Linked DNA regions of Lepisosteus oculatus. The protein of the gene in region 1 purifies or fractionates together with the protein of each later gene. This does not show direct contact. Links are inferred from orthologs where the notes say so. Each region holds a gene or a part of one and is shown in the gene's direction. Other genes may lie near its edges.

The links.
Region 2: the proteins of hdac11 (region 1) and gcfc2 purify together in Homo sapiens (co-immunoprecipitation; 3 studies listed by BioGRID and IntAct, counting the BioPlex papers as one, with this or other methods). This does not show direct contact. The link is inferred for Lepisosteus oculatus from reciprocal best matches to the Homo sapiens genes HDAC11 and GCFC2.

The regions. Positions count from the first base shown.
Region 1 is NC_090699.1:62,733,847-62,742,263, forward strand, and holds the start of hdac11 (histone deacetylase 11), read left to right. Parts: upstream 1-4,693; 5' UTR 4,694-4,853; intron 4,854-4,991; exon of another isoform or gene 4,992-5,178; intron 5,179-7,726; exon of another isoform or gene 7,727-7,729; 5' UTR 7,730-7,754; coding exon 7,755-7,789; intron 7,790-8,050; coding exon 8,051-8,199; intron 8,200-8,417. Other genes in the region: nup210 (nuclear pore membrane glycoprotein 210), read right to left, coding at 2,082-2,248. UniProt on the Homo sapiens protein: Responsible for the deacetylation of lysine residues on the N-terminal part of the core histones (H2A, H2B, H3 and H4).
Region 2 is NC_090697.1:20,601,505-20,609,671, forward strand, and holds the start of gcfc2 (intron Large complex component GCFC2), read left to right. Parts: upstream 1-4,924; 5' UTR 4,925-5,228; coding exon 5,229-5,550; intron 5,551-5,993; coding exon 5,994-6,092; intron 6,093-7,678; coding exon 7,679-7,810; intron 7,811-8,167.

The DNA.
Region 1 (8,417 bases):
TTGAGGGGCTCAGAGCCACCAACATTTGTCCAATATGCATGATTCTGAAAGCTTTGACTAATAAAGCTAGTTGTTTATGCAAAAATATCTGATTAAATGGTAAAAGCAGAGCAAAGCATAAAGACATATGGTGAAATACAGCACAGACTACAAGAAAATTGCAATTGTAATCAGAAATTTATTGAAAATAGTAATTCGAGTTTGCCATATAACCACATGCACCAAATATGACAAAATGACCTAAACTCGTCGACCTATAAAATACGTTCATCTTGATGTTTGGGCATATACAGGATGAACTCAAAATGGAAAAGCAGGAAATATTATTAACTTACTCCAAAAAAGTGAAACACACAACAGAGGACGCAAGACGAAACTCTGTGGAAATGCATTTAAAACTCGGAACAGGATGCACTTCTTTATGCAAAGCATTGTGGGAGTACGGAACAAGCTACCCATCCACAACAGTGAAGACAATATTCTGGCTTCTTTCAAGGAAAAAAGCTGGAAGATATCCGTGCAGCAATTAGCTACTAACTAGCAAATGGTCTAGTTGGGCCAAATGGCCTGCGCTCATACAAATGTTCACATAAGGCATTTTGTTAAAACTACAACCTTAAGACATGACAACTATCAAGTTCAAAATTTGTGGGTCAATTTGAAAATCAATGTATAGGAACAATGTGCTTTTAGTAATGCAAATGACAGAAACTGCAAGAATCCCAATAAATCTTAAAGGAAACCTGAAAATGCTCTTTGTTGCTTAATGTACCCTCTGGGTTTTAATACAGTCTGCGTCAAAGAAATAACAAAACTCATCCCTTTCTTCCCCAAAGAGAAGGTTTCTCTAATGTGCTTTCTTGAAAAACTTATCGACTGTAAATTTGGTACATTAACTGCTTTATGTCCCACAAATTAAATTTGTGACTTAGAATGATTTCCATAATTGCCTCAGCCTTTTCTTTTACCAGATGTACGTCATTTGCAGACATAATCTGGAACTCTGTCTTCCCTGTGCAGCTAGCCAATTTCAATTTATAAATTGGGTCTTTGCAGAGTGTAAGAATATGGAAGTTAATCTGTGTGTTGCCAATAAGGAAAAATGATTTTAGGATCTACAGTAGGTTGCTGTAAATTATATGACTGTCATAAGGTAGCTAAAAATGCAGCAAAAAAAAAAAGACATCAGTAGCTCATAAATGCTGCAGGCATAATGTTTAAAACCAGTGCTGTTCTCCTTAAAAAATGTCTTGAAGACTTTATCAGACAAACACGCTGTTGTCAGCCTGGGTTCATTCAGGTTTGCTGCACCACATGTGCTGTGAAACATTATCAGCTTGGATTTAATTAACTTCTGTATCAATTGGAGCATATCCATACAGCACAGGCATACTCTCCAGGAAACAACAAAAGCGCCTCTCGCAGATGCTTATACATTTAAAACCTCACTCTGCCACACAAACTGTCTCAATTCAAATACAACTGAAGGACAACATTTTTTCACTCTAATTTTTACTAAAAGGTTAAGGACAACACTCAGCAGTCTGTGGAGGTGTGGTGCTCACCTTATATATATTGCAAGTCTATTAATAAACTACAGTAAACAGAATGACATTAAAACTTAATGGTTTCATAAGTGCAAGTCTATACAGCTAAATATGACAAAAGAGACAGCTGAGCAGTAGTAGGGGAGGGCAGTAATGGAAATATTATCATTAAATTAGAGTGTACACTGAATGACTGCTTTCGACCTTGGTTTATCTGTATTGTCTGTAGCTCAAAGAAAGGCGCCTATGGTACTTAAATAAAACCTTGTCACAAAAAAAGCCCATTAAAAAGTTGATTCAAGAATATTACCGCACCTGGAAATGAATATGACTTAATTTAATTTCAACCGGCATTTTTCAGGGTACTTTTTCTAGAAAATGTCTTAAACCTTTACATTACTTGCTGTTGACCATAAATAGCAGTGAACACCAGTCTCTGCCTGGGTTCATACAGTAACGTCCCACGTGTTTCCTGTCCCCAAAGAACAGCTTTAGACTTCATTTTCGATTTTCTTTTCAAAAATTCAAACTTACCATCTGTAACATCCTTCAGTTGCTTCCAAGGTAAAATTTATTTTGGTGCTTCTGGCTAAAGGCAACAAGACCTTTGGGATATTCAATTTAGAGGCACTCGAACAAAATATCGGATCATAAAATAAAACCATTAACACAATCAATGAAAGTACCGTTGCACTCGCCATTTCCTTTTTTTTTCTAAAGTGCTTTTTTGCTTTAAATAAAAGCACAACGTTAACGGACCACGCGGCGCGATATGATCTTTATACATAAAAAGAAGTTTAAAAGCTAAACTATAAAAAAAACCACAAATCAAAGTACCCAATTCCAAAATCTAGTTCGAGGCCATTGCCCTATACTTTATGTTAAATTCATGGTGCTGTCCTGTGCAAAATACTGCACATGTTCCACGATTACAGAAAAGGTGAGCTAAGCGCACAAAGTTCTTTCAAGCGCGTAATCCCTTTTTAAAGATACAAGTCCAGTTCAATAGGCTACAAACTTTCAATATAGAGAAACAGCATGGAGAGCTACTGCATGACTCAGTTGGTGTCCGTTTCAGGTGTTTCAATGTGCATGCACCCACACACAGGAAATGCAGCGAGATTTATCTTCCTATCTTCTAAAGAAATGTCCACCCGACGCTACTGCATACACAAAAAGGTATTTTAAATAACTGCATTATTAATTTTTAAACATATAACATAAGAAACACCCGCCATTCGCAGCTATTCGAGCAACGTCATGAACGACGGCAGACGGCGGTCGTTTTACACGCAAGAGGGAGGAGGAAAGGTCGTGTTACAAGAAACTGCGCCTTAAAGGCGCAGGAGGCTTTGGATCCTTGCGCACTAATGACATTATTTTCGCATTTCTGTTCTGTTCAGTGTACTGTTTCCATTCCAATACGGGACTGAAGTGAACCCGTCGAATTCGCGACATCCGCCTTTGAATTCAATTTGGAAGACGAGAGCCCCGTGAAGTTCACCAAGCAATTTGCCGCTATCTGGTTTCCACCGGAGCTACCCAATTAAATCCAGTTCTCCTTGTCCTTAGATGTTAGTTTGTGCTCTCCGTTTTTTGCCCACCCCACAATCTGTCACATTGTCTTTAAAGACCCTGCAGGTCTCCCATACTGTTACCCTGTACAGATAATTAGGCTTAAGACTGTATGTTGGAATGTGCGTAATTCTCCGCTAAAATCCATTACTGGACAAGCCCGGTTAAAATTAGATATAAATGTAGATATTGAACCTTCGGGGATTGTTTTCAGATTAACCCATGGAGTTGCGTCTTGTGTAAAATTATTCTAAGGTTGCAAGTTTCCTTCAGAAAGAAATAGCCTGCCCTTTGAAAAACGTCGAATACACGGCCTGTAGGAAGCATTTCGCTCTATTTATTCGTTTGTTTAGATATTTTCAATCTAGATCTAAAACGTGCACGTTTTACCTGGTACATACTACAGATACTGACTGTTAGATACTGATCTTGAAGAAACAGCCAGTGAAAAGGATTTTTTTATGCCTTGTCGTTGTCCTCTCTACACAATCAGTGGAACCCGCCATCCTGGGTTCTCATTTCTCCCCCCTCTGGTAAGCGTTATAGGGGCATAAAGGCACGAATCTCCAGATTACTGAACTCTACCCCTACAGTACCATTGGCTCACACTGTTTTTTTTTAAGTGGTATGGGCATTTCACTTGTTGGTGCTGCTGCTGTTCTGTGTTTGTGTTTTTTGGTGTTTCCTTTATGTCTTTCTATCATTGCACTTGTGCATCTGACAAAAACTGAACTGAACGAATTATTAAGGACCACTGCTAAATATAAGTCCAAAGATGTAACGATTAAATTATGGACATTAAATTAAGTAATTTAGAATATTGTGTACAATTGTGATCGGTACGTTACAAAACTGATATTGCTGGTGTGGAAAGAGCTCTGAAAAGCACAACTACATTAATTGGTGGTATTAAAGGCGTATTATAGTCAGGTTGAAAAACCATAATTTTCCAGTTCTTACTCTTGAGCAAAAGAGGTTGTATTGAAAACACCCCTGACAATATATATTTTTTCAATTAACATCTCCAACATCATTAGTGAAAAAATAATAATTTTAACTTCAAATTAAGAGTAAGGACTTTGCCCGTGGATAGGAATCTCTACATTGCACATAGGGTAGTGGGTGTCTGGAATAAATTATTGGTGAAGATGATACTTTTGGGATCATTCGGGAAAAGGCTGGATGAAGAGCTATTTAAATGTTTTTATATTCTGTGTGGGAACATTCAGGTATTAATAATATAAGTATTTACAAGAGGCATCATGAACAACCAAATATGTAATCGCTTGCTCTTTATCTCGCTTATAAATTATTGTATTGCATAAGAAACTTCACTTACTGTTTTATTCGGAATCATCATAAATGATCTCTTTGCACAAATTACGCGACTCGGTACTCAGGCGTTATATAATTCAAGAACTATATGATCGTGACAAAAAAAGACATTCTGCCTTTGAAGTAATGGAACACAAAAACACTACAGTGGCATGAGCTTTATTACTGCATTACCTGAAATATAACTCTTTACAAACCCCAGGTTGTGTTACTAATTTTTAGTAATTTAAAAATCATATAACACCCGCTGATGTAAACCAATGTCAATTGCACATGACACAGCAACGGAACACAGGACACCTCCTGGAAATATATCTGCGTAGAAAAAAAAAACAAAACGGCTGCAATGCTCTGTGCTGAGCAGGGATACGCGTTGTACAAATCAATCGGCTGCAGGTAAGAGTATGTGCGGTTTTTGCGTAAAAGCCAACAAATTCAACCGGGCAGCACTTAACACTTGGAAGTGTTCCTTGTTTCTTCCGCTCCCTGTGGAGGATCACAGGTGACGTAGGAGCGTTCTGCGTACTAGCTCATCACAACACTGATGAATTTGTGAAAGGGAGTTGGTTGGGCATCATTCCTCGGTTAAGTGATACACGCTAATTTAAACGATGTACATAGGCCACGCACGTTAATCCTGTTTCGGGGGGCTAACATAGCGTGTGGCAACACTAAGTCGACTTGCTATACTCAGCACCAATAATGAAAAAAATGTGGACAGGTGAGTTGAACTGTGTTTCGTATTCGCACACGAAGCAGGTGAGAAGGCCGAATATGCAATAAGGTATGGCATTTGCTTGTGGTGTAGAGCTTTTAACGGAAAATTGTAATAATTAATAAATATACAGAACACCACGATAACATTGAATAAATCGAATAATATATTTGCAGAAGCCCCTTTTCTTATTTAGATTGATACGCATGCGTGTGAATTGCAAAGCCCTCCGGGTATTGTAGTCCATTTGATTTTTTCCCCACTAGAGATTTGAGTGGATTCAGTGCCTCAGTAAACTGTTTAATAGATCGCCATGTTCTTATATTTAGTAAAGGGATGGCATATTTACAAAAGCAAATATGAGTAAGGGTGCTTGTTAAGAGTAGAAAGAATAGGGCAAATGCCTTTGCTTTTATAATGACACCTAAACTAGATTACCATCTTTTTCTATTTTTTGCACACAATCACAACCGCTCAGATTTATTTTCAGCCACAGAGTGAAAATACTAGGAATAATAAACTTCTTGACAAATTTAACCAGTATCAGCCAAAAATTCTTTAAAACCCCAACACCTGTGAAAACCTAAGACTGCAGATTGTTTACATTGTACATTTCATTTTACTACCTTGTGGTGTTGATTGCTTTTGAAATAAAGTTCTGCAGTTTACCATTAATGCTATTCTTGTCATTTAATTCCTCACTCTTTCACATAACCAAATGTTTTCTGCACAACTGCTATCGTATCAGAAAGCATTTTGAATGGAATAGTTGGTCACGTTCCTCTTGAACAGATTCATAGAATGAAGTATATGAGCATAGTCTTGATGTTGGCTTGTCTTCTTAAAAACTCTAGGCAGATTAAATTTTAATATCATGAATCTATTATGGAAATTGATTTTTTTCTCCTCAAGGTCAGAGAAATAGGGCAGATGTAGAGTATGGAGCGTGTCTGAGGAACAGATGACAGTGAGCTTTTTCTTATGAAGCACTGTAATACTTCTCACAACAATGAACAAACATTTTGTATTCAAAGAAGGGGTAGAGGAGACTTTGAGGCTTTCAGTATAATTCTGTAAATACAAAGATTTGAATTCTGTATGAATCTGTTAGCTGTGAAATACACTAACAGGTTTTTAATTATTTTATTAGCTGATGCAATGTCACTTTTTTTATTTTGCGATGTTAATTTTTGTGGTACTGAGTTTCTCGTCATAGTCTGACAGTTGTCAAAATTAAAAGCTCGCTCTTAGGTATTTATTTGTATGCGAAGTTAAGCTGAGTAATGTGGTGTGTCACACTTTTGAAAAGACAGCATGTGCACATCAAATGTATGTATGTCTCTATGGAACCAGCCGCTGTAGATATTGAATATTTTAAAAGAGAAGTATGTTGTAAATAGGACATTCAACGTCAAGGCTGATATTTGCAATTGCATGTTTTTAAGATCGGTCCTTCAAAAATGCACAAAAACATAACATTCCGGAATTTGCTGCATAAACATTATGAAGTAAACTGGGTTTATGAGGCCTAATCTCTTGAGTTGTCTTACTGCTTGCTGTTACTTGTGTAAAATTACACATAAAATGTTCAGTAATACGTTCCGATCAGTGATTGTCATTTTGAATGACAACTTTTGGCTTTTTAAAGTAATGTGATGGTATGTTTAAAATATATGAATATTTGCAAATCATTCATTTCTGTATTTTATTGGTATGGGTTAAAATCACCAAGTGTAAAAAACCTCTGTTAATGGAGTGGGATTCAGAGGGGTATTTTACAGTCTTGTAAAAATGGTTTGGATTTGACAGTGTGACTTCAGAACCCCTCAACTTTTGTGCCGTTTCCTAAATTAGCATAAGTTATAGATCTGATCATTTTCAAGGGTTTGAAGAGATGAATCAATACACAAGCTGTGAGTGGGGAAAAAGCCTGGGAGCTCCATCGTGAATTTAGACAAGAAACAGCCACGTAGTCGGCATTGCTCTGATTGATTGCCTGCACTGAAGTGTGTTGTTTATTCACTGCCATTTGGATTTTAGAATTGGAACCTCTTCCTTTATTAATGTGATGTTTTCATCTCCAATATGTTTATTGATTGGCAGGGATGGTTTTGGAGAAAGTTTTTATAGTGCATGCAGAATAGATTGCTTTTGAATTTTTTAATTGTTCCAGAAACTCTTAATATATATATATATTAACCTCTAGTGAATTTGAATTTTGGAGGTTTTATGTTAAGAATTAAAATCTAACCAGATGTAGTTTAAAGAAATGGAAACAAACTGGTTTTATTACAAGCTTGTGCACCGCAGGAATTTAGGTAGGAATCCTTGTTACGACTTGATTATCCTTGATCATTAAGTACAAGTATTGTTTAAAAGTATGCAAAACATGTTCTCGCATTTGATCACAAAGAGCAATGTACTACAGGAAAGAACATGGTATGATATGGTACCACTAGCTAAAATCATAGCCAAGGACATTTCATGTGTTATTAAGAGTATTGTGCATTCTACTATATTGAGTACATTTTTTGGTAAACACCCGTTTGTTTTTCAGGTTAAAATGAAAATGTGAATGAAAAATGTCTCAAAAAGGAAGCAGGCAAGAAAAAACAAGGTATACACTATATTACCTTAAAAATAGTATAAAGAATGTGGTCACACTTGAAATCTTTTTTATAACTATTTATAAAATGCTATTAAGGTGTTTATTAATAATGTTATAAACGTTTCCTGCAAATGATGACATGTCGAAATTCCTAGGGTAGGATTTCCAGGGATTGAATATGAGACCCCTGGCCAAGGTTTAGGACTGGAGATGTGGTTTGTTATCTTGATTTTACCATAAGGAATCCTTTGCATTTTGTATGCTTTTCAGCTCGCACAGCACCGAGCTTTACACCGAAGTCCCTTCAACGTGCCTGCCTATTGTGTACTCTCCAGACTACAACATTACCTTTATGGGATTTGAGAAGCTTCACCCTTTTGATGCTGGGAAATGGGGGAAGGTTATTCGTTTTTTGAAAGGTACACTGGATGATTAAACAGTGTTAATGTGCAATCAAAGGGACTCTTGTTTGTGAAGGAATTTAGTACATGGATAAAGCTCTCCTGTGATAAATGAAATCAATGTCATTTTTCTAAACAAAAAATGTAATTTTTGAGTTGGATAGAAATAGTTTTGGCACATTCATCGAAGTAGTGAAGCAGTGCACCGAGTCGGAGATAATTAAGAAAGTTAAAAA
Region 2 (8,167 bases), on another chromosome or scaffold:
TTACAGCCATGTAAGTATGTAAAGCACCTTGGAGATAAAATTGTTTTTGCCATTTTTCTTTGCTTCTGGTGTTCTTTTTTACTGTATTCTGATTGATGCGACTGAGGTTTTCAAAATCATGTGAGGCACAGACAAAGACAACAAAACAGACTTCTTGAGAACCAACAGCAAAACAAGAACCAAAGGACAAGTGGAAACTAGATAGATAAGAATTCAAAACAAAGAACAAGAAGCATTTCTTACACAGCGGGTTGTGGTAGTCTGGAACAAGATACCTAGCCATGCTACTGAAGAGAGTAACTTAGCTTCTTTAAAGAAATGGATAGTAAAAATGCTTTGACCAATCAGCTACTAGGAAACAAACATGAGCAGGTTCTGTTGTCAGTTTCTGTAGTTTATTCTCAGCGCAGTAATGCCTCCTTGTTCACAAACAGAATGATTCATTTGCTTATCTCACCCTTTGGATTAAAATGAGGGAAGATTCGTCATCCACAGAACTGAAAGTCATGTGTGACAACATCAGGCTTGCAACAATATTCACATATACACGTAGCACCAGTGAAAGTCACCAGCCAGCATAAACTAAAATTCTCTGAGGTGCAGACAAAGTCAAACCAATATACCAGAGCCATCAGTGAAACATTGACTACATGATACAAGTGCAAACTAAGGAGACAGGCACTTACAAATGAAAATGTTAGGCACATATTACACAAAGGGTTGTGGGAATCTGGAAACCAGAGACCATGTTGTTGAACCCAATAGCTCAAAAAATGGCTAGATAAAATACCCGAGTTAGCTACTAGCAAACAAACTAGCTAGATGGGCCAAATGGCATCCTTAGATTTGTAATGTTGCTTATGCTCATATCATATAAATCCACCCCTTTACGCACTGCAATTCATCAGTCAAAATACACATCCTCCTTCACTCTCTGGCTGCCACAACTCCTACACAAAACAGACAAACTCTAACTGTTCTGTATTCATAAGGAAGATGGTTTAAAGAGACACCAAAAGGGATTACAGTGCAGAAAAAGGAAAAATATCATCCTAGATCTACAGCAAATTCCTTCTCATCTTGTGGCTTGAGGTTATGAAAGTATTAACAAAGTGGACTGTTATCCTGTAACAAAATAATTATTGAATTAAACTCCCCAATATGTTCAAATACTCGAAGATACAAAGAAATAAGAGATTGGTTATATTCACATACACATCCTGGTCTGACCACGTGTAACATCGGATATGACCGCTTTAACTGACAACTGACGAACAGGATGCAGGAACCTAACAAGACTCATAATTTAAGGCACTGTTTTATTCTGGCTTTCTAAAAAGGGGAACACAAGGAACTTAAAACATTGTGTGTTGCATGATAAATTACTGTAATAAGTTCAGAAGTTAAAAAAATTCAGCCATGACTGAATTTTTTTAGTCCCCAGCTGCCCAGCTGCCCAAGACAACACACCTGTCTTGTGAAGTGTTAAAATATTCGAACCAGTTTCAGCCTCTTTTGCATTAAACAACACAAAGCCAATAGCAGTTTCTAATAGCACTAGTAATAGTTTAGAAATAGTAATAGAGTCTTTTCCACCCACCCCTTATTGAAGAGGACTGTATGGTGCATCTAAATGTCATCCGTGCAGGGACACAACAAACTAGATTCATGAATATTCTATTTTTATCTCTGACCCGAGATTCTCTTAGTCAAATAAGGAAAAGGGGGAGGATGGGATCCATTAATGAAAAACCGAATGAGTCTTCATTTTGATTTTTTTTTTCTCGCACAGCTTGCCAGGAAGAATCAAAAGTTTCCTGTTAGAAAGCAAGTGATTTCAAAGTAACAAAACGTCCAGATAATCAAACTGCTTTTCACTGTTCACTGTAAAACGTTTTAAAAAAATGCAAGAACCTGGTCGATTTTGCCACTATATACAGTACATTCCTGCATTAATTGAACAAATGCCCTTCAAGTGACTCACTAGACTCAAATTACTTTATCATTGTTTAATTTCCTAGTATTCATCGTGTTACAATTGTGAGGGTTCTTGTACTGACGCTCTAAACACGAAAAAAATGCTTAAGAAAAGTGGTTCGAAACATGTAGACCACTTTTTCTTAACATTTTAAAATACATGAAAGACAATTCAATCTCCAAAAAGAAAAGAAAAACAACCCATACATCAGAAGTGCAATAAAACAGTGTGTAAATGTTTCTAAAAATTGAAAATCATTATTCAAATTATTTCTTAAAGTCATGAAATTCATTAAATTCCTTATATAAAGCAGAGAAACCAGTGCAATGAAGTTTCATTCCTTTGCCTACTGCTGCAAGACACTTGCTTTAAATTCGCAACAACCTGCCAAGCGAGTCGTGAAAAGGAAATTTTCAAATATGTATTTCTTTACTGCTGCAACCACAATAAATGATTCAGAACATAAACCCCAATATATCAAGTAATCCTGTTTCTTATAACACTAGATTAAAAAAATCCTATGTATTCGTGCTTGTTTACATCCTCGCTTTCAATGTAACCGACAAGTTTCAATTTTAAAGCTTTAATTACATTACTTACTGATAAAATTCCAGCACCAAACTATGTTTATGTATATATACATAGAATATGTTCCTTGGTAAAATAATTTATATACATATTGTATATGTATAATGAAGTATTCATAATTCTTAAATTTACTTACTTTTCGTGGAAGGACACCAAAAATATTTTGGATTTGGTTTAATCCCGACTCTGGAAAATCTCCATTATCAACAAATGTTCTCGGTCAAAATAAGTAATTAGACGTGAGACTCAATGTTTATTTCCAGAAAACGTGCTTCAGTCTTGTACCTGTTGCTTGCTAGAAGCAGCACTGTAGTATTACACCAACAACATGGCTGACAACACGGAGCCTGATTACTATTCAACCCCAGGATGGGAGGGGAAATCTCATTTTTGCAACCTTGCACATACTGCCCTCTCACTGTTCAGGTACGCATCACACCCAGCCTGTCTTAATAGCAAAAAAGCTATGCATTGTCAGCATACCTGCAGGACTACGCCTTAAAAGCTATCCGTGCAAAAAATAAAATTGGTTGAAACAACAGATACTCCTTTTTAGTTTTAAAATTATATTTATTCACATCTCAGATTTTTGATGATAAAATAAATTCATTCAAATGTGGCTGCATGATATACTGTAATGTACTGAAATTACTAAATCTGACTTTGCAAGGCATTGGAACTCAAGTTGGTGGAGATTATACACACACTAAAATGTACTGCTTTATGATAATATCTAGTAGAATAAGACAAAAAAGAGTGAATACAGTGCCTGGCAGTACAAAGGACGACAAAATTGAACCAAGTTAAAGAAGGTAAAAAGTATTTGCCTAAGCGCTTTGTTCTTGAATAAGCAACAACAGTAAAGCAGGCTGTATGATTTACTTTATGATGTACAAAAGGCTTTTGATAAAAGTTTCCCATAAAAATAAATTCTCAAATTAAAAGTTAGTTGCATTTGGGGAAACTTCAGTTTTGGGATTAAGAACTGGTTAATGGACTGAGAGTAGAGAGTATAGAAAGGGGAAGATTGTTCAAACTGTGGTGATGTAATTAATGGAGTGCCAATGTAATAGACTTTAGATCATTTACAAATGTACAAATTAGTGTGTACATCATACAATTTCAACCTAATATTTTTTTATCCACTATATATACAGTACTAGCATGGGGTGGGCTCTCCTGGTCCTGGAGACCTGGTGCGTCCGCAGGTTTTTTAAGGTCTCTTTAAAGCAGCAGCACCTGAAGAGCAGGGTTATGGTAATAAATCAATCTACTTGAACAACTAAACAGCTGGTTTACCATGTTAAAGGCTGGAATGAAAACAGAAAGAGACACCATTGTTCTTGGAACAGAATAGCTGTGCTACAATGAGCTGCCATTGCTCTGCTGTGAAGTGGGGTGACAGGTCAGAGCCTATGACTCCTGATATACAGAAGGCATACTGTGAACCCTTGAGCATTAACTGTACTATTTGTTGAGTCTTAAGGCATCCTTCTACAGCCCATTTTATTCGGGATATTGGATTAAAATGTCTATTGAAATCACCATAGGAAGAGAAGACAGCAAGGTCCAGCTTCTCTGAACTTTAATTATTCAGTGCTTTAAGCCTGTTTCTGATGCATATGTAAAATTCACTTTCCTTGAGCCAGGACAGGGACAAGGCATGTACAGGAAAAGTGGATGTCATGGGGATCTTGGTGATAACATTATGCCTGTTGAATAGGGACCAATGTCCCCACTTCATGAGGTTAGAAGTACAGCACCTAAGTGCCAAACCTAAAACCTTTGTCCTGGTTGCCCAAGAAAGACCAAGATGTCTGGGTCTGTTTTATTCCAAAGAAATTCAAGGACTCCAAGTCCTCATCATAATAGAATGAATATCACCCTTCTGCTACTCAGTTAGCACACTTGTCTGTCTCTGCCTTAGAGTCATTGAACGCTTGAAATCTACAATCAAGACGTTACAGAGGAGAACCTGCTACATGGACAACTCAGAGGTTTTCTTTTTGGCACTGACTCATAGGTTGACAGCTCTGTATCTCTTAACTTCTCTTAAATAAGTAGGAGGGAGAGAGAAAGTAAGTTGCCTCTCACAGCCTGAGGGAATATTTAAGGACTGTGATTTCTGGGCCCAACTGTGGCTATGCAATTCTATTTGGCTTTAACAAGCAAGAACTGGCTGCACCGTTGTCCTTTAATTATAGTTTGCTTTAGTTTTCAAAAAGGCTCTTCTATGAAAAGTTCTAATTCTTTAACATTTTTATTGAAGGTTTTCAAAATGCCAAGTTTACTTTAATTTCCACAGAGTTCTTGAAGGAAGAAATAGAGCGACGCATTGTTTATGGACTACATTACCCATGATGCAGCCGGAGAGCAGGGAACCGGAAAGTACAAACGTAAATGTTGTTGAAGCAAATCGGAAGAAGTGTTGTAAGTGTACTTTTTTCCCCCCATAAATGAAGATGGAGTAATTGGTTTATGCTAACTTGCTTAGCATTTAAAAATGTAAATGTGTTTCATTGTGCTTTAGTCTTTCATTTACTTCACTACCGAGATACACGTGGGATGCTGTAAGGCTTAGTACTTTTTTTAAAAAAAAAATACATAAGATAATCATTTGCGATCCGCACTGTTGAGATATTATTGCAGTTCCCACCTGAATATGTTCGGTAAGAAACCAAAGAGAAACTTCAGGAGGAGGAAAGGAGATTCGAGCGGAGAAGATGAGCCTTCACAAGAAGAGCAGGGAGAAGCCACTGACGAGGTGAAGGTCTCGGTTGCTCCCCGGTTACTGAAGTATCCGCAGAGCCGGGGGATTTCCTGCACGTCTAAGCGGGAGTCCGGGAGCTCCAGGCCGGATTCAGTCGCCGGACAAAATCCGCACACAGAAAATGTAAGCGAAGATACGGCTGCGGAAGACGCTGCTGAGAAGAAACTGACGAAAAATAAAATCACTCTATTGAGTTTCGGTGATGAAAAACAAGGTACGCCCCAGTATTTATATTTCTGCGTGAATCTGATGTGGTACATGCACGGAGACAGCCTGCAGTAGATTCTGCAGATGCAAATGACATGCATGGGATCTCTTCACAGAATTGATATTTTAGCGAGCTGTCGCTGTGTCGCGAGCATAACCCAGGTGAAGCAGAAACGAAGAATATCTGTTTAAGCCAAGACACAGTAGGGAGGGTCATCGCTGATCATGCCTAGAGCTCAGACCTGTGCTGGAGTCATTATTGAACCATGCAGCCAAAAAAGGGACTCAAATATAACGTATGTTCCATTCTGATCTATAATTGCATTATAGAAAATGTCATCAAAAGCCTGCTATTGACATTGTTTTGTTGTTTTTCGTTTCTGTTCTTTGCATTCAATTAATGTGCACGTTTTTTTTTTTTCCTAACCTGCTGGTGTATTTTCATTTCAGTGGACGAAGATGACTTCAAGGTTAAAAAGCCTGTTGCCAAGGCCGTCGTTTTCAAAGCGCGAACAAAAGAGATCAATCCTCCCGCTTTTAATTCACAAGGTAAATTGCCAACTGCGTTCTTATGGTTTCATAACAACGGATGTGTATGTTAGCTGTTCGACGTAACAGGGCTCGGTGGCACTGTGTATTTTCCTGAAATGATGTCATCGTTTCTTGAAACGTTCATCATTGTAGAAATCTGGGGTGATAGAAAACCTGGTCTTTGGATTCGAGCAAAGTTTGCTACTTTTTATGGGGTGGTACAGTTCAACTGTGGTAAAAAAGAAATAATTTGTTACATTTTATATAGCGCTTTTCCAGACACTTTACAGGTAATGATAACTCATCTCCACCACCGGCAATGTGCAGATTCACACTTCACATACCTTAACTGAGTTTGTGTGAAAGTGGTCTGAGGTTTGTTTTCTTGGTTAACATCCTTATTTTTAGGGGGAATTGGTTCGCTTGTGACTACACTGCAATAATAATGTGTAGTAATTTGTTCATTGTGTTAGATGCAAAATTATTTTTTTTTCCGTAGTCTTGAATGGAGAAGTCTAGAAGCCAACATGATTTGAGTAGTCTGGCCTTGGTTAATCCTGGAAATGGGAGACCTCCAAGAAAAACCTGTTTGCTGTTCAAAGAGGTGTTGCTGGACCAGAGTTAGTGCATTCTAACTGGAAATGAGTTTCATTGCGTTTTGTTTGGCATTCTGTTACAAACTACTCAGCCATGTTGTTGAAGCGGGTTTCTTCAACATGGCTTCTTTCAAGAAATGGCTGGATGAGATCCTCAGGTCACTTAGCTACTAGTCACCCAGTGGGCTATGTAGGCCAAACTGCCTCTTTTTCTGTTAATAACCTTTTTATGTTCAGTGGCCTTATTTTATGTCTTTGATTTTGAAATTCATCTGGCTCATCTTTTTTAAATAGACTCTGCACTGTTTGCAGCTTTTGCAACCCTTTGTCTTTCAACCCCTGAGAAACAAATAGTAAATATACCATAAATATAGTAGATATTTGTATGTGTAAAATAGTTTTGGCGTGGTCTTAATGAATTTTTCTGTTATTCTGTTGCAGTTTGATTTATTTCCCAATTGACATTTGGTTTTCATGCTGTTCTCCATATAAACTGCACTTTACCGAGTGCAAAAACAATCACTACTCAAAACAGGCCATAAGATGAGCTCAGCTGAATGCCATTTAAACAAACTCTGAATTGGACTGAATACTCTTGGAGCATTCAAAACTAAACAAACCTCACTCAGTTAGGGGGAAAAAAACATCTCAAGAGAAGCAAAGCTCTTCACTGAAAATTAAGTTTCACATTTTATTATTAACATTAGCGAAAGGCAAGATGGGGAAATAGGTGAAATTATGTTACAGTCATACTACTGAGCATGTTATACTGAGGCAAAATGAAATCACTATTGATTAATTGCTCTGTAGTTGATTGGTAAAGAACTGGCATCAAGAATGAGCAAAACAGAGAATTATATGGTCCCCTGCGCAAGTAATGTTTTTATTTCTAAGTAACTGACTTAACATTAGTTCTGTAAATGTTTTTTTTGGAATGGAATGGGGGTTAAGATTGCTTCTTCAAAATTAAAAGATGTGAGTTTGACAGTTCCTGCTTGTGTTTTATAGGCCCCAAGGGTCCTGTTTCACAGAGTGACTGTGGGGACGATAAACCCGAAGGTGAAAAAATTCAGGATGGAAGCAACGATGATACAAGCTCCCAAAAATCTAGTTCTTCCAGCTCTTCAGTGTCTGATCCAGGTTTGTTGGAGGTTTCTCAGAAATTTTGAGCATTTTTTCCTCATTCTTATAATCTTTTAGAAAGTAAGTGATGAATTGGTCTTCAGTATTGCTCTATCGTTGTCATCTAAAATTTCCATTCCGGAAAAGTGTTTTCGACAAGTGTCCAGGATAATATTCCATGGAGGTTTAGAGGCGTGTATTTCAATGCTTCGTCTTTCTGAAGCTAGTTTGTAAAAAAAAAAAGTTTACAGACCAGACTGAACTTAACTCGCCTACCTGCACTGTGGCTAGACAAATACTGAGGCATAAAACCAAAAACCAAAAAAGTGTTGGTTTCTTGAACTCCTTTCTCAGACATCCATATGTGAGATTGCA